3 linked regions of the Yarrowia lipolytica genome follow. The protein of the gene in region 3 purifies or fractionates together with the protein of the main gene of each other region. This does not show direct contact. Links are inferred from orthologs where the notes say so. Each region holds a gene or a part of one and is shown on either strand. Other genes may lie near its edges. The genes, in order: YALI1_B16110g, YALI1_D21076g and YALI1_D14125g.

Evidence for each region.
Region 1: the proteins of YALI1_D14125g (region 3) and YALI1_B16110g purify together in Saccharomyces cerevisiae (affinity purification with mass spectrometry; 3 studies listed by BioGRID). This does not show direct contact. The link is inferred for Yarrowia lipolytica from reciprocal best matches to the Saccharomyces cerevisiae genes NOP9 and MRD1.
Region 2: the proteins of YALI1_D14125g (region 3) and YALI1_D21076g purify together in Saccharomyces cerevisiae (affinity purification with mass spectrometry; 3 studies listed by BioGRID). This does not show direct contact. The link is inferred for Yarrowia lipolytica from reciprocal best matches to the Saccharomyces cerevisiae genes NOP9 and NOP56.

Annotation. Positions count from the first base shown.
Region 1 is NC_090771.1:1,608,496-1,615,059, forward strand, and holds YALI1_B16110g (uncharacterized protein), read left to right. Parts: upstream 1-2,592; coding exon 2,593-5,079; downstream 5,080-6,564. Other genes in the region: YALI1_B16087g (uncharacterized protein), read right to left, coding at 1-295, 419-443; YALI1_B16158g (uncharacterized protein), read right to left, coding at 5,450-6,564. UniProt on the Saccharomyces cerevisiae protein: Involved in pre-rRNA processing. Required for maintaining steady-state levels of 40S ribosomal subunit. Required for the initial processing of pre-rRNA at the A0 to A2 sites, leading to the processing of the 23S pre-rRNA intermediate to the 18S rRNA.
Region 2 is NC_090773.1:2,105,149-2,110,418, reverse strand, and holds YALI1_D21076g (uncharacterized protein), read left to right. Parts: upstream 1-2,785; coding exon 2,786-4,318; downstream 4,319-5,270. Other genes in the region: YALI1_D21100g (uncharacterized protein), read right to left, coding at 1-442; YALI1_D21044g (uncharacterized protein), read right to left, coding at 4,630-5,270. UniProt on the Saccharomyces cerevisiae protein: Required for 60S ribosomal subunit synthesis.
Region 3 is NC_090773.1:1,409,825-1,415,736, reverse strand, and holds YALI1_D14125g (uncharacterized protein), read right to left. Parts: upstream 3,231-5,912; coding exon 1,056-3,230; downstream 1-1,055. Other genes in the region: YALI1_D14156g (uncharacterized protein), read left to right, coding at 57-728; YALI1_D14104g (uncharacterized protein), read right to left, coding at 3,461-5,326. UniProt on the Saccharomyces cerevisiae protein: RNA-binding nucleolar protein required for pre-rRNA processing. Component of the 90S pre-ribosome involved in production of 18S rRNA and assembly of small ribosomal subunit. Component of the pre-40S ribosome required for release from the nucleolus.

The sequences.
Region 1 (6,564 bases), on a different chromosome or scaffold from region 3:
GCAAAACACGCTCTGCAGAGCTCTCTATGTCGTCTGATAAGTTGTGGGGTTGCCACCGAGACTTCTGGGAACAGCACCAGACAGTAAGGGTTGATTAGCTTGGCTAGTTCTTTCTCAAGGTCGGCTGCTGATTCGAACATCCAGTTTTCGTCAAGTCGGTAGAAGGGCAGAATCTTGCTGAGGCTAAAGAGAGAAAAGATGTGTTTCCAGGACAGGAATGCAAGGTGCGACTTGGCGCAATGCTGGTTGTTGATTAGTGCGTAGATCATATAGTCGTATCTTGATAGATGATTACCTGTGTTAGTATTTCGTGTCTCGTCGACCACATCATAGGTATCTCACTGATTATCAGCATGTTTCCCTCGGGTATCATTTTGTCGCCGTGCATCTTGATCTTGAAGTTGACCACCTGACCCACCGAGAACATCGTCCACGACCACCATCTTCGAGCCAACATAGCTCTGTAGTGCTTGAGGTTGGGTGATCGGCTAAGACACAGGAGGTAGAGCCATAGGTCCATGACCGAGCCGATAGTGAACATGACCACCAGGATGGTCACCAGCAGGTATTTTCTGGTTTCCAGTTTCATCGATGAAATTATATTGTGTCGGTATCTCTCTTGAAGTGGTGTGAGGTGATGTGGAATAGAATGGTGGTGGGTTGAGGGGTGTTAAAGAAGTGTGGTGAGAGGAGCCGAAAGAAGACGCAACCTGAGACCGAGACCAAGAATCCAATCATTGTGACGAGAGCATCGGGTTGCGTCTAGTGTTGAATGAGTCCTGGATATACATCGTTTATATAATACGTCAGATCAATTAATATCAACACGTATTACATGCCCTTACATCCAACATGTCGTGTATTATCGCATCTGTCTTATCTCCAGGCAGTATCGAAGCACAGTGAACCTTGATTATGGAATACAGTAGCTATGAGTACTCTAGACAAATGGGCTAACCATTAGGGAAACATATCTAGCAGTATACTGTAAATGGTTGAAATGGAATGATTTGACTCTGCTTCTTTTCTTGTCACCCTCACGACACCCACTCGTTCACGTTTATTCGCACTACTGCAGTGACACTCATTGTCTCATCGGAGATCCTCCTGGATGGCCAAGATCGGTCCGAGTGTTACGCATTACTGGCCTCTGTCTTCCTTATGAAGAGACGAACATCGATTTTGAACTAGCTCGATACTCATCTATCTCCCGAACTTGTCAATATCGTTGTAGATTATATCGATCAACATCCTGCGATGCTTTGTCAGCGCGAGCAGGTCTGGACATCTCCGGAACTGTGACCGGAGCCCAGGTGCTACAAGTTTGAGCTAGAAACATATTTGTAGAACCCATTTACAGAACAGGCATTTGAATACATACGATGTCTAATCCCAGGAGTCGGATTCATTTCCAGATTTCAAGACGCGGACGCGACCGAGTTCTGAAGGTACTGGAAGAGACCCAACGGATGGTGCTGACGAATATTGATATTCAACAGAGACCCACGGGTGATGGCGGAAAAAGGGAACTTCTAAAGGCAAGACCCTAATCATAGACTCTATACTCAGATGGTTTCCTTACTCCATACTCAGATGATGGTCCTTTGTACTTGTAGATTCCATAGTTGCTGACACGTGAACGAGTGACGATCGGTCACGTTCAAGCACTCGTCTGATTTTACTAGAGATAGTATCTGAGGTTTCCATAAGCCGCGGATGTATTATGGTTGTTGATAGATATGTGAGTACACTGTAATGTTTATTGTCGATGGTGGATGTGAACAAACTGGCCCTAAGTTACTGTAAGACCGTAAGAGAGCCATGTCTCGATACAATAGCAAAGATGGAATTAAAAAAAAAATGGTTTTAAAGATATAAGGCTGTTGTCTCATTGTACCACGGTCTTTTCCATGATGATAAATACTACTGCCTACAGAGCTGTTTAGACATCTCTTCGGCTGAGAATGTCGTGAGATTTTCAGAGCCAACAAATGAAATAGTTAAGGAAAAGAATTGGTATTAAAGTACTGTATATACCATATCTGCAATTCTAGATTACGATGGTTATCTTCACTTTTTAGGGGTCTGAAAGAGTCAACTTGTGCCAACCAAGAAAGTTGTAGACTCGTTTGAGGTTGACACGGGGATAAATTAGTGACAGAATGTAGAGACAGAAATGAAAATAGACGTAGTTAAATGAAACCTATGGATTTGCTAGAAATGTTTGACGTCTCCTGTTCAATTATATCGATATATCGAGTCGGACCCTTGGAAGGTTGCAGTTCGAGATAAGCTGACTAAGCTTATATCAGAATATCTGTATTCTTATTGCTTTGGAGCAGTAGCCATCTTGAGGGTTTCCCTCTGAGGATATCTAATCCTCAGCAAACCACTGGTACCATTATGTACCTGTTTTCTTATCCTTTGTGTAATAGCTACAGTACTTACAGTAGCTACAGTACATACTTGGACAATTCACTTCCCTCCACAATTCCATATTGTAGACAAAATAAGCTTTCAGCGAACACCTTAACTTTAAAATTTCTAGTATCTTGCAGATGCAGGTGAGGAAAATTTCCCACACACCACAGAATGTCTCGACTGATTGTGAAAAACCTGCCGCCTTACCTCGATGAGGCTGGCCTGAAGAAACACTTTTCCACCGTCAAGGATCCCAAGTCTGCTGGCTTTGCCCCTTCCGATATCACTGATGTCAAGGTGGTGAGAGCTCGAGACGGCAAGACCAGACGGTTCGGATTCGTTGGTTTCCGATCCGACGAGACTGCCGAGGCTGCCGTCAAGTATTTTGACACATCTTTCATCAACTCTACCAAGATCTCCGTGGCTGTTGCCATGACTTTCACAGACCCCAATGTTCCTCTGTCTTCAAGAGAGCGAAAGCGGCAGGCTGCTCAGAGAGCTCGAGAGGACGCTGAGGACGACCGGGAGGCCAAGAAGGCCCGGTATCTCGAGAAGCCTATGACCATTGACGACATTAATGGTTTGGGCAACGCCTCCGATCCTCGACTGGCTGACTATCTGGATGCCATGCAGGTTCGATCTAACGCTAAGACCTGGGCCAACAACGATGCTGGAGCTGTTGCCAACGAGCCTCAGGTGATCCAGTCTACTGCTTCTGATGATGAGTATGACGAGTTTACCGGCAAGGGTGACGACGAGATAGACGAGGACGAGGACGAGGAAGAGGAGAGTGAGAACAAGAAGGATGACGACAATGAGGAGGCCGAGGAGGACGAGGAAGATCCGGTTATTGAAGACGGACTTGCTGCTGATCCTGGCGTTTCAGATATGGACTGGTTGCGACAACGACAAACACGAATCAAGGAGGGGGAACCCGAGGAGGACCGTGAAAACAGACACACCGAGTCCAAGAGCGAGGGCAAGAAAGGAAAAGGCAATGCTCCCAAGGCTGCTACTCCTGTTGATGAGGAGCCCTCTGAGGACCCTACCATTGTGAGCATTAGAAAAACTGGACGTCTGTTCTTGCGAAACCTGCTCTATACAGCCAAAGAGGAGGATTTCCGACAGCTGTTTTCGCAGTACGGAGAGTTGGAGGAGGTTCATCTACCCATCAACACCAAGACTGGCCAGTGCAAGGGATTCGCACACGTGCAGTTTGAGGACCCCGAAAACGCCATCGCAGCGTACGAGGCCCAGGATGGAAAGATTTTCCAGGGCCGACTTTTGCATATCCTACCCGGAAAGCCCAAGAAGGACTACAACCGACTGGACGAGCACGATCTCAAAAACCTGCCTCTCAAGAAGCAGCAGGAGCTGAAGCGAAAGGCCGAGGCTGCCAAACAGCAGTTCTCTTGGAATTCGCTGTACATGAACCAGGACGCCGTCATGGAGAGTGTGGCCAAGAGTATGGGTATCAAGAAGTCCGAATTGATCGACCCAGACTCCAGTGATGCTGCTGTCAAGCAGGCTTTGGCTGAGGCCACTGTTATTGGAGATGTCAAGTCGTACTTTGAGAAGATGGGCGTTGATCTGGCTTCCTTTGACAACAAGGATAGAGATGATCGAGTCATTCTTGTCAAGAACTTCCCCTTTGGAACCACCCAGCCTGAGATTGCTGAGATGTTTTCTGAATACGGAGATCTCTATAAGGTGATGATGCCTCCAGCTGGAACTATTGCTATTGTCATTTTCAAGCACATTCCCGACGCTCGAGCTGCGTTTGCCAAGCTGGCTTTCCGAAGGTTCAAGACTAGCATTCTGTACCTGGAGAAGGGTCCCAAGAACCTGCTTCCTAACGAGAAGATGGAGAGTGATGAGGTTGAGCATGTTAAACAAGACAAGATTGTTACTATCGAGGACAAGCTGTCTGCTTCTGACGTTATGGACACTGGTTCTAACGATGAAAGACCTGCTACTGCTTCTACTTCTGTATTTGTCAAGAACTTGAACTTCAAGACCACCTCCCGTGTTCTCACCGACGCCTTCAAGGCTCTGGACGGTTTCCTGGTTGCTCAGGTCAAGATGAAGCCTGACTCTAAGAACAAGGGAAAGTTCCTGTCCATGGGTTTCGGTTTCGTCGAGTTCTCCTCCAAGGAGGCTGCTGAGATTGCCCAGAAGGCCATGGATGGTCATGTGCTTGATGGCCATAAGCTGCAGCTCAAGATCTCCAACCGTGGCCAGGACGAGGAGACCACAGAGACCAAGAAGGCTATCGATTCCAAGATCCTCATCAAGAATTTGCCGTTCGAGGCTACCAAGAAGGATGTTCAGAAGCTGTTTGGTGCTTTTGGTTCTCTCAAGACTGTCCGAGTGCCCAAGAAGTTCAACTCCGAGTCTCGAGGTTTCGCCTTTGCCGAGTACGTGTCTGCCAAGGAGGCTGAGCATGCCATGTCTGCTCTGCAGGGCACCCATCTGCTCGGCCGACGTCTTGTTCTTCAGTACGCTCAGGCCGATGCTTCTAACGCTGAGGAGGAGATTGAGCGAATGCAGGCTACTGTTTCCAAGCAGGCTGCTCAGCGGTCTTTTGCTGACATGAAGCTGGCAGGTGAAGGTAAGCGACGAGTCGACCTTGAGGGAGAGGACGAAGAGGAGTTTTAGATACATAACATAATGATAGACTGATTTGGATAGTTCAGTTGAGCGTATTGGTAGGTGTTCGGTAACCATGACTGCAAGAAAGGTCGCCTATGTTTAAGGGGGGGACAGCGGAGTCACGGAATCATGACTTATATATTGTCCTCTAATTTATCCCTTTCTTAAGCACCATCTATAATACAGCTGTGCTTATACTGTAACATGGTGCTGACCTCCAAGGTTCCCATCTTCCAAGGTATACAAGTAGAGCGAATCCCAGTTACTGTAAGTTACAAAGCTATAATACAAAAACAGATACCATTCGAGATACAACAAAATATTTGAAAAGATACGAAAATAGGATACCACGAGAATCTAAACAGATACACCCCGTTTAGATCCAGATCTCCTTGGTGATGTTCATTCGCTTCTGGCACTCAAACACAGCAGGAACGGTACCAGACGAAAAGTAGCAGTACATGTTCTTGATGTACTCGGGGTCGCTTCCATCAGGAACAAAGGGACTCTCTCGGTACTCATACTTGAGGTAGTCCTCTCTGCCTGTATCGTTGCTGATAATGTACTGGATAGCGTTGTGCCAAAAAGTGGCGTTGAGAGGAGCTTCTCGAGGCCACTTCTGATCAGGATCATAGACATCTCGGGCAGAGTACTCAAAGATCCACTCGAGCTCCTCATCAGGAGTTCGGGGAGGGTATGTGACTCGAGTAAAGGAGCCGTTGTTCGCAATCTCAGGCTTGTCCATATCAAACTCGAATGTCTTGTGGAGTTGGGCATAATAATTGATGGACTCCATGATTTCAAATGTATCACTGTCAACCTCGTAGTATCTCCACGAGGGGTTGTAGTTGTGCAGAGGAGTGACTGACTGCGAGATCCATCCCACGGTCAGAGCGTTATCGATGGAGTTATCGGTGCCGTTTCCAGCGTAGTACACGTTGAACTGGTCCTCGTGGGTGTGTCCAAAAAATAGAGCGGCAATGGTATGTGGAGCAAATCGGTCAACGATCTGCCGGAACACCTCGGTAGCGTGAGGGAGGGCGTTGGTGGTACTTCCCCCGGTGGGAACGTGGGCGATGATCCAGACCTTCTGGGCGTTCTTCTCAGCCTCTATCAGCTGGTCAACCATCCACTTCATCATTCCAGAAGTGTCGGGAGAGGTGGTGTTCCAGTAGTTGTAATAGTTGGCGTTGTACCAGAAGTTTGAGTCCATTGAGATAACCCGCAGTCCTCGCTTGGTTGTCACTCCGAAAGCTCCGTATGTGTGTACAGCCTCCGCCTGAGTTGCCTCATCGATCCAACCATAGTCCTTCCACAGAGAGGCGGACAGTTGGGCGTTCCACACAAACTCTCCGAGGAAACCAGAAGCATTCTGGGCTTGCTGAGCATAAGGGAAGGTGTCATGGTTGCCGAAAGTGGAGTAGATGGGGAGGTCACCGAGGAATCGTTTCATCTGGTAGTAAACGTCCTCCTCAGATTTGATGACGTTGG
Region 2 (5,270 bases), about 690 kb from region 3:
CTTCGGTGGTCACTCCGGGCTTGATGGCGGCGGCACCGGCGTCCAGAACCTCTCGGGCCAGCTTGGACACCTTTCGCATGGTGTTCTGCTCGTCCTCGGAAAGCACGGTGATCTGGGTGGATCGCTGCACCTTCTGTTCACTGATGGGCTGACCGTCTCCAGCATAGTCGGGCTTCACAATGTTGGGCTTGACCTCTCGACGAGGATGCAGGGGGTACACGGCTCGCAGGTCGCCGGAGTAGCTGTAGTTGGGGAAGGGATCAGTGGTTTCTTGGCCAGCGGGACTATGGACCGACTTATGCAGGGCCCAGTTTCGCTTGAAACAGGTCTGGTCGCAGAAAAAGGCGTTGACGCCGGTCTTGAGACAGACGGGGCACTTGAGGCTGCCGTCGACAATCTTTCCGCAATCGGGGCCGCTGCAGGTGTTCTCCACAGAGGTCATTTTTGAGATGTCAGAGTGGTGTGGAAGTGGGTGTGCTTCTGTATGTACAGCTCTAATCTTTTCACCTATCCAGAAGCTTATTTGAGATCAAGTAGTAAGCAACTAAATATTAGAGTTAGTGGAAAGGCTAAGTAAATGACGGTCTTGCGGGAGAGCTCATGAGTGAGGTTTTGGAGGTATATTACACGCGTTTGTGGAGAAGGCGTGGAGAAGGGGTGTCCTTGGAACTGATTACTAAGCCTTTTCGCAACAGTCGGTCTCACTTTCTCAGCTTCAACAGAACCCATGGATATAAGTCCGGTATTATCATATTCCGCACCATCCGCATCATCCAATATGCAGGAATGACATATGAGCGCATTAGCAGATACCGGCACTCAGATGTAGGGATATTGATTCTAGGGTGGGTGAAGTTGCTACAAGTAGCTCTTTCTGTGGTGGACCCCGGAGATACTAGTTATGAAGAGTGGTCATGAAGAGTGGTTATGAAAAGTGGTTACGATGCTTGTTTCTCATACACTAGCTAGTCAAGTATTGATCATGATGGGTATGATGTGAGGGTGAATGGTGAGAATACACTACAGTAGATGATAAGAATGTGTTTCTGTAGCTATTCGCGATCTTCGAATATCACGCTCTTTTCTTCGATTTAATCTTCATTTTCGCTAGTTATTGTGATAATTCGAAGTAGTCGTAGTAAATCAAGTGGCACTGTACCTACCATGGCTTGTACAGGTACTTGTTATGGAATGATCTGAGTGAATCTCAACGGCAAGAGATAACGGATTCTGATTTGCGGGTCACAGAAGGAGATTCTCAACTCTCAATGGGATAGTTCCATAAGAACTTGTACTGTAGCCCATGGGTGTCCAGTTTAGATGCTGTAAGCAGAACACGACGCTCAGTTTCTGCCAGAAACTTGGACGCTAGTTGCCAAAAACTTTTAGCGATGGAAACCCTTTAAAAACTTCTCCAGAACTCTCCAGAACTCTCCAGAACTCTCCAGAACTCTCGTGGTCCTATATGTGCGAATGAACGACCTCCACTCACCGCCATTGGACAGACACAGAGAAGTATGGGGATGGTGAATGTGAACAGGAGACAGTGTAGCGATGAATACGAGATTGGTACCATCTCCAAGATCAGCCGAAAACGTTTCTGTATATCAGCTCCTTTGTTGGATTCCATGCCGACAGTCCACCACAGAAGTTGAACATTCGCTGATGCTACACCTGAATTACCTGTCCCAAAATGGCCAAAAAAAAAAAAAAAAAAAAAAAAAAAAAAAGGACTCTCTTGGGTAATGTGACCAAAATCTGCTATTATTTGCGGAATTTATTAATATTCGGATGTAAAACTGATGCAACAAGTACCCTTCGCCCAAACTGTCCTACAACGAGTGCAAAACTCCTCTATCACAACTACTAACATCGACATGCTACAACACCTCCAAACCTAATCGTATTTTTTTTAGACACCAGGAAGCCTTCGTCAACAGACCCCTGTTTCCCCGAATCTGAGTAGAAAAGACGTAAACCAGGTATTCCAAACTCCAAGATCCCCCAGTAAAAAATTCGCTTCTCGAAGACTGCTCTAAAGGCACATTCACCGTTGCTTGTTGCTGTACCCAGATTGTCAACAGTAACTTTGATCCGAGGTACGTTGTGTGCGATATTGGACGAGCTATAGTCATTATCTCTGAGATCAGAAAGGCTAGAAATAGCTTCTCGAACTTTCAGTATGCCCAAAGATATACCAAAAGCTTTCTATATGTCAATATCTGCTTTTGTCACGCCCAGTCGAAGACGTTATATGCTGGACTCTATCAGATAATGTTTGGGTTGCATCGATCTCTGGTTACTGCTCAGCACGGCCAGATAATGTCGCCATATAGACATAAAACTGATACGGTAAAGATGCCAACCGGCCATTATACATCTGGATCAACCATTTTTCTCATAATATCCATCCATTGCAGTGTAAAAATGGCGACTTTTCAGCCCCTTTTTGGAACAAGTTGCTCGTAGGTCTACTCCGAAGTCGGTCAAACTACATGCCAAACCAATCCGAACTAAACAACACACGCAGCTGAGACCTGTGGCCCAAAATTCAGTGGCACACTCATTAACCCTCTAAACAATAAACATATCACGGCGCCTACTCATAAACGAACCACCACGGCCATTTGCGAACGACCCACTATTGTCCCCCGTCTAGTCTCCACGGCCGGGTAAAAAGGCTATTTTTTTCTGCACAATTTTTTCTGACGCTGCAGGACGTTTAAAAATATTCCTGTCCACTTTTCTCCCAACCACACACTTGTCCAACACCACTACACACACCATGTCGGACCAAATCGACTACGTACTTTTCGAGGAGGCCTCTGGCTACGCTCTGTTCAAGGTGCTGCTGCAGCCCGAGAACATTGGCGCCCGAGTCAAGGAGGTCCAGGAGTCTTGTACCGACTTCAACAAGTTTTCCAAGCTTGTCAAGCTGGTGTCTTTTGCCCCCTTCAAGGGTGCTGCCCATGCTCTGGAGAACGCCAACGATATTTCCGAGGGTATCTGCAACGACCACCTCAAGTCCCTGCTCGAGCTCAACTTGCCTGAGGGATCCAAGAAGAAGAAGATTGTGCTTGGTATCAGTGACAAGAACCTGGGCCAGAGCATAAAGGAGGCTCTCCCCAACGTCGAGTGTGTCTCCAACGAGGCCGTCCACGATCTCCAGCGAGGAATCCGTTTGTTTGGCGACCGGTTCCTGGAGCAGCTTGACTCTGGCGATCTTGAGCGAGCTCAGCTTGGTCTGGGCCACGCCTACTCCCGAGCCAAGGTCAAGTTCTCCGTCAACAAGAACGACAACCACATCATCCAGGCCATTGCGCTGCTGGACCAGCTGGACAAGGATATCAACACCTTCTCCATGCGAGTCAAGGAGTGGTATGGCTGGCACTTCCCCGAGCTCGCCAAGCTCGTCAACGACAACTACAACTTTGCCAAGCTCGCTCTCTACATCAAGGACAAGTCCGAGCTGTCCGAGGACTCCCTGCACGACATTGCTGCCATCGTGAACGACGATGCTGGTCTTGCCCAGCAGATTATCGACGCTTCCAAGATCTCCATGGGCCAGGACATCTCCGAGGCTGACATGGACAACGTTACCACCTTCGCCGAGCGAGTTGTCAACATCACCGACTACCGACGAAAGCTCTACGGCTACCTGTCCGAGAAGATGAACACCATTGCTCCCAACCTGTCCGAGCTTATTGGTGAGGTTGTTGGTGCCCGACTCATCTCTCACGCCGGTTCTCTTACCAACCTGTCCAAGTACCCTGCCTCTACTGTCCAGATTCTCGGTGCCGAGAAGGCTCTGTTCCGAGCTCTTAAGACCAAGGGAAACACCCCTAAATACGGTCTGATCTACCACTCTTCTTTCATCGGCAAGGCCGGTCTCAAGAACAAGGGCCGAATCTCCCGATTCCTCGCCAACAAGTGTTCCATTGCATCTCGAATCGACAACTACTCCGATGTGCCCACTTCCATCTTCGGAAAGGCCCTCAAGCAGCAGGTCGAGGAGCGACTCACCTTCTACGATACCGGAGTTGCCCCCACCAAGAACGTCGATGCCATGAAGAACGCCATGGACGAGGTTCTGGCCAACATGGGCGACGTTGAGGTCGATGAGGACTCTGACGTTGAGATGGATGACGATTCCGACAAGAAGGAGAAGAAGGAAAAGAAGGACAAGAAGGAAAAGAAGGAAAAGAAGGACAAGTCTGAGAAGAAGGACAAGAAGGACAAGAAGGAAAAGAAGGACAAGAAGCGAAAGAGCTTGGGCGGTGATGAGACTCCTAAGAAGAAGAAGTCAAAGAAGGATTAATGTAGTATATATTTAACGGATAATACAAGTGAAGATGCAAAGTTGCATACATCTGGCATGCAGTGAGGGTTGCCAGATGATGTGATTTTGCGACCGTAGAATGAGGGAAGACTGCCACAAGACTGGAATCTGAGAAATGTGATAACACCTACAAGTATCTGACATGTCTCAGGCACTACAGCTGTGCCTGTTTTCATAGGCGGTATTCTCATACAAGTTCACTGAGCCCTTATCAGGTACAATACTAAGACAAATATACTAATTGTGTTGTGGACGCATCGAAACCGCCTCTGCAACGCAGTCATGACCTCCTACAGGTACAGTCCAGCAACGCCATCATCTGCTCTCAACTCCTTCAACGCCTTTGCTGCGTCGAGCCCGAAAACTCCGGCGAGAATTCCAGTCAGGTCCTCGAACGTGTCACTCTGGTATCGCTCGAACGACTGAGTGCCCACATTCTGGACCACTAGTGCTGTGGCAGGCACCTGTGACTGCTGACATCGGGTGAGAACGGCGGCTCCTAGTCCAGATATGAAGTTTGGAGACTGCAGCAGAGGTGTGGAAGCCAGGGGGACGAGATTCGACTTACCCACATCCAGCTGGTGCACATGAACGTCAGCAATGGTGTTACCAGGTGCAAGAATGAGCGCTTGGCAGGGTTTGATTAGATCAACCAACTGTTGAGCAAACCCATGTGCCAGAAGAAGCTCATCCTGCTTGATTTCCACTAGAACCACATCTCCATACTGAACTGGCGATAGGATTACCTTGTGGGAGGTGATCAGCTCTTTAGTGACATCCTCCAGCTCGTCCTCCTCGTCTTCCTCCTCCAAAAAGTCGGTGGTAAACTTGCGTCTGTTTTCTGCGCTCTGGGCATTCTTTTTGAGCTGAATCTCGCCGACAATCTCGCCGAGATTGATGGGTTTCGATTTCTGAGTGAAAAGAGCTTCCA
Region 3 (5,912 bases):
AACTCTCCCTTACACAAACAACACCCCCAAAACATCCTTTTTGCACCACCTCCGCCATGCCCGAGCCCACAATCGAAAGCCTGAAGAAGGAGGTCGACTTTCTCTCTGCCCAGCTCCGAAAAGTCACCGGGCTGGTCGCTGAGACCGGCAAACAGGTGCTCTCCATCCAGGTGAACCAGGAGAAGGGCGCCCTCAACAACCTCACAATCACCGACGTGGAAGGCAAGCCAGTCCAGTCGCAAAAGGACAAGGCTTCATCGTCCGAAGACAGCCAGGCCGTCACCTCTGAGGATCTCGTGGTGCTTGTGACCGAACTCCAGGACCAGCTCGACAACCTCGAGACTAAGTCGATCCGACGAACCGCAAACTCCTTTGCCCAGAAAGACGCCGACCTCATTGCCTCGCTGCCCCGAATTGATGGCATGTGCCCCGCCCAGGAGCTCGACGACGAAACCCACCCCGACTGGGTATTCCCCAAGACCCTGGGAGAGTTCAAGAAGCTCGATAATGCCAAGGTGGAACAGTGGATGCGGTTCTACGAGCTGCTGCCTCCGGACGAAGCCGAACTTGCCAAGCTCCAAGAGGTGCTGGGCAAGGAGGAGCTTGAGGAGGCCATGGAGAACGCCCGAAAGTCTGCTGAACTGTCGGAGGCGGAGGCCATTGAGCGATTTGATACTCTCGCCCGGTTCTTTGGTCTGCGGGAGCGACGAGGCACCAACGCCTGGTAGATGTGCCCGCTATGACTATTGATACAAAATCCATTACGACTTCCGGTATTCTTCTTTTTCGAGGCCGAATTAATAATGAGCGAAAAAATGACAACCATGAGACCACCAATCGAGAGAGAAACAGTACACAGTATATTATTTTAGTTTTTTGTTTCCTCATTTGAGGACAATGTGAAAAAAAAAAAAGCAGATGATAGATGATGATGTTTAAATACTGTATTACATGTCGGCCTATAGAGGACTACTTATAGGTACGCCACTCAAGCGTCTCCGTATCTGATCAGATATCTGTGCCATATCCCGTTAACTATATAATGCTTTTCTAAATCACTCGTTTCGGACCTTCTTTCGAGATCGGTCTCCAGAGGCGTCTTCTCCATCTCCTCCGTTGGCTCGCTTGAATCCTCCTCGATCAGAGCCTCCAAATCCTCCTCGGGGAGCCCCGCCTCGACCTCCTCGGAAACCTCCTCGGCCCCGACCTCCTCCTCGAGGGAAAGTTCCTCCTCCTCGAGTGATGATTCGGGCTCCACCTCGGCCAAATCGCTTCTGTCCAGGATTGGCCAGAGACTTGGCGTCCAGAGGGATTCCGAGCTCCTCGTACTCCTTGGCTAAAGCGTCATCAGTGGCATGGAGAGTCACCCACCAGTCACTCTTTCGTCGCAGAAACTTGTCCAGCGACCAATTTCTCCAGACCGCCTTTCCATATGTGTTTTCCTTGAGATCTTCGTCGGCCACCAGCTCGTTAGCAATCTTCTCTCTAAAGTTGTTCATCTTGTAGGTGAAGTTCCAAAGCCGGTCCATAACGTGTGATGCAAACGGGTCTCGGGCAAGATCGACGCACTGGCCGTTGATCTTGTTGAGGAACTTTCGTCGCTCGATCGTGTTGATGGACGGCCGCAGACACTTTTCCAGCAGACGCGAGTACGACTGGTGCTTGGCCATCTTGATGACATCGACATCGCCAGAGTTGAGTCCCACGAAAGCGGTAGCAAGCACCTCGGGAGAAGCTTCCACCAGTTGTTGCAGCACCAGACATCTATGCAGACCGGGAGAAGAAGCCTCATGGGGTTTGTAGGGGTTCTTCTCGTCCAGCTGAAGCACCTTCTGTAGGAGCTTGGGGTCGGTGGAGTCTGTATCAAATGTCTTGAGCACCGCATTGGCAACGTCGGTTGCCTTGTAGTTGGCAGCAGCAGCTCGGGTAAGCAGAATTCGAACCATGGTCAGGTTGTTGTTCTCCACCAGATAGGGAATTTCTCCCATGGCAGTATCAATAATGTGGTGGACGTCGGCCTCGGGAAGACGCTGCATGCAGGTCTCAATGACAAATCCGGCGTAGTCTCGTCGCACCAACTTCTGCACTCGCTGAGACATGTACAGTCTGTAGAGTCGCTCGACAAAGGCCTCAGGGGCCTTCTGAAGCACGTTCTGGAGAAAGTGCGAACCCACAGCATCGGACAGAAGGTGCTCAACAAACGCCTCCTCAGAGGAGTCTCGATCTTCGGTGTCGGCAAAGATGGTGTTCAACAGAGGTCGCTGCTCAGAAGTGGTAGCCTCAGAGTCAATCAGCAGTTGGACCACGGGCGAAGAAACCTGTCCAATAGCTAGCTCTCGAGCAGCAGTGGGCTTGAGTCGTTTGCTGAAGCCGCTGACAATGGCCTCCAGAGCATCGTGGAAGGCTCCGGGAATCTGGTATGCTCGGTCATTCTCCTCCGAGTCCTTAATGTCAATATTTCGTCGGGCGGTTCGCGACTTTTTCGATCGCAGCACCGACGAGTTGCCCTCGGAACTTGTGGGAGAGGGCAGAGTCTGGCCTCCGAGAATGAGCAACAGCACTCGAATCACGTGCGAAGCGTAAGGGTTGGAAATGAGGTCCTGGATGTAGTCCTTCATGTCGTTTGCAAGGGTCAAGAACCGCTTCTCCATAGAATCCTCGCTGTCGCCATCAAAGTTGGGGTCTAGCACCTCCTTCTCCACAATGGCGGCTCCTCGCACCAGCAGAGTCTCCACGCAATGGGAAGAGTACTTGTGTCTGCTGAGGTCCACAAAGTAGCCGGAGAACACCTCAAACAACGCCCGGATCTGCTCGTCGTTGGCCAGCAAGATCAGTCGCTCCATGAGCTTGGAGCAAATCTGGTTCGTCACCAGCTTAAGCTCTTTTCCTCGAGCCTCGTCCAGCAAACCAGAGATGAATCCCAGCTTCTCTTCGGGTGACCCAAAAGCATCGACGGCCAAAGTGGACTCGGCGGTTTTAAAGTACTCTGACTCCTGGTCATCGAGGAATCCAAAAAATGGCATCTGCTTGAGATCCAGAGGGTTGTAGGGGGTCTCATTGTCGTAGCCATCGTTCTCTTCATCATCATGACCTCCAGCCACTCCTCCGTCAGCATCAAAAGTGACGTAGTCTTCGTCGTTCTCATAGACCTTAAGGTCAACGTCTTCCTTTTCCTCCTCGGCTCGCTTGGCGGCGGCTCGTCTTCCTCTCTTCTTGACTTCTCGAGGCATTCTTTCTCAAAGATGTAGATACTGTGAAATAATTTAGCTCACCGAAAATATATTTTTCTGCAATGCACACTGAAGAGGTTTATTTAGGTTTGGGTTTTTTCACACATTAAACAAAATTACTTATCATTTACTCGAGGCAACTACCCTCGTTGGATCAATCCTGACGTCGCGCTCTCTCAATCACAAACATGCATCTATAACTCATTTTATATACCAATCCGCTACTCCGTTTAATCATCCTGATCCCAGTTACCAATAGACTGCTGCTTGGGCATGGTGGGGCCGCCAGCTCGCTTGGCCATGATAATCTGGTCGACTGTGAGAATGGTGTTGGCCACGTCAGTCGCAAGCTCGATGGCAGACATCTTGGCGGAGTAAGAGTCAAAGATATCGGCAGCAGAGGCGTCGCAGGTGCCGGTGCTGTCGTTGTCGTCGACATCGACACCAGTGGTGTTTCGGCCCTCGGAGTGAGCAGCGTAGAGTCGGGCAAGCACCTCGATGGCGTCCAGACCAGCGTTCTCGGCCAGAGTTTCGGGCAGGACTTCAAATGCCTGTCCGTAGGCCTTGATGGCATGCTGCATGAGACCCTGGGTTCGCTCGCCCTGCTGCACAATGGTAGAAACCAGCCGGATTTCGGTGGCTCCAGCTCCAGGAACCAGACGGGGATCCTTAGAGATGGACTTGACAACAGACACACCGTCATCAATGGCTCGCTCCACGTCGTCGAGAGCGTTCTGGGTAGCACCTCGAACCACAACGGTCGCGGTTCGGGTCGCCTCGTCCTCCTGTCGGAGCACGGTGACTCGGTCGCCTCCAATCTCAATGGTCTCAACCACATCGACAGTGCCCATCTCCTCGGGAAGGGGAGCTCCGACTCGAGCGAGAGGAGTGGCGCCAACCACTCGGCACAGTCGTCGCAGATCAAACTTGGAGGGAACCTTAAGGGCAATCAGACCCATTCTGTTCATGTAGTGCAGAGGCAAGTCTCCGAGACCAGCGCCGCAGACGACCACCTTGACGCCGGAGTCGGCAATGTTCTTAACCATGGTCTCGACCTGGGCCTCCTCACCCTTGGAGAAGTTGAGCATCTCCTGGGCAGACTTGAGCAGCACAGTACCCTTTGTTTCGGTAGAGGAGATGTCGACAGGGGTAGAGAAAACAACAACCTTGGCCTTGCCACAATTCTTCACAGTGGACTCGGGCTCCCGGTTGAAAACCATACCCTTGATGACCTGGGATGCGCCCAGAGAGGCGCCCATGATCTTGACGACTCGGATGGCGTCCACGTTGAAAGCCTTGATGTTCTTGGGCATGACATGCTGGACAGCCTCGGTGACCAATCGCGAGATGATTGCCTCGTGGCCGTACTGCTTGGATGCCACGGCGGTCTTGACGGCTCGAGCCAGCAGCTGCGAGGTGACCAGAGCCTGGGCGGTGTCTCCGTTGGCCAGCTCAGCGTTGGCAGTGGTCTCGGCAGCAATGGTCTCCAGCTCCATCAGCGCCAGACCCTTGGCTCGCTCGTAGCCCTGGACCACTTCGGAGGGATGCAGTCCGATTCGAATGAGCTCGTCGGCCTTGTTGAGAAGCGAGCCGGCCAGAGTCAGAACCAAGTTGGTGGCATCTCCACACTCGAGCTCCTGCTGCTGGGAGGCCTGGACCAGGAGTTTGGCGGCAGGGTGAATCACCTCGAGCTCCCGCAGAATGGTGGCGGCATCAGATGTCAGAAAGATTCGGCCAAGATGGTTGACCACAATCTTGTTTCGACCACAGGGTCCAATAGAGGTTCGAACCATGCCGGTGATTTCTCGACAGGCCTGGATGTTTCGCTGGACGGCGCCGTCCTCGGCATTGGATGTCTGGTATCCCTGCTTGAACAGGCCCGCATTGGGGGCGGTAGGTAGCTTGAGATTCGACATTATGGTGTAGTTGTAGTTAAGACAGGTACCGTGTGCATTCGATAGTCTTCGATTTTTTTTGAGGGTTAGGGCGGCAGAGATGGTGCGAAATGGGTGTCTAAACGGGTGATAGAGATGGGTTGGGGGTGATGTGTGTGTTGATCTGGGTAATTGTCCTCTCAAATAATACCCTCGAACCATTTATTCGCCTACTTGTACTACAATCTACGTCATTTATCAGGGGTTGGGGTGTATCTGATCTCGTCAAACTGTACGTGTGCAAGTCCCAAACGTTCTAGATAACTCCTTTGACGACGCCACTGTCTCTTTTATTAAGGCGTCGCAACAGAGTTTCTAGGCGTGTGGGATCTGAGCCGTGAGGAAGGCAACATTAGAGGTCAACCGAAGTCACAATTGCTTCGAGAGGGATGATTTTGGGTCGTTGATTGGTTCGTTCCGCTCAAACCGCTGATTCCGCTCCAGACTTGGCCACCTTCATGTTTATCGGCTTAGTCAGTACACCCTTGGTCCATTTCCGTCCAGTATGGCTTAGAGAGACTCAAAAACTGTCCAAACATCCATACGCAGTTTCTGCACTCTACTAACGCTTCAGTGGAGTACTCTCGACGTACTGTACAGTACTGTATACCATCTCCGGCGTCTCATCCGACAATCGTTCGTATTCAACCATTCTCCAACTAAGGTTGTTGACGTTTGATCCCATTTTTGTTGTTTACATATCGTCTCATTAGCTTCACCCGTGCGTTCCAGGGTGTATCAACACCAC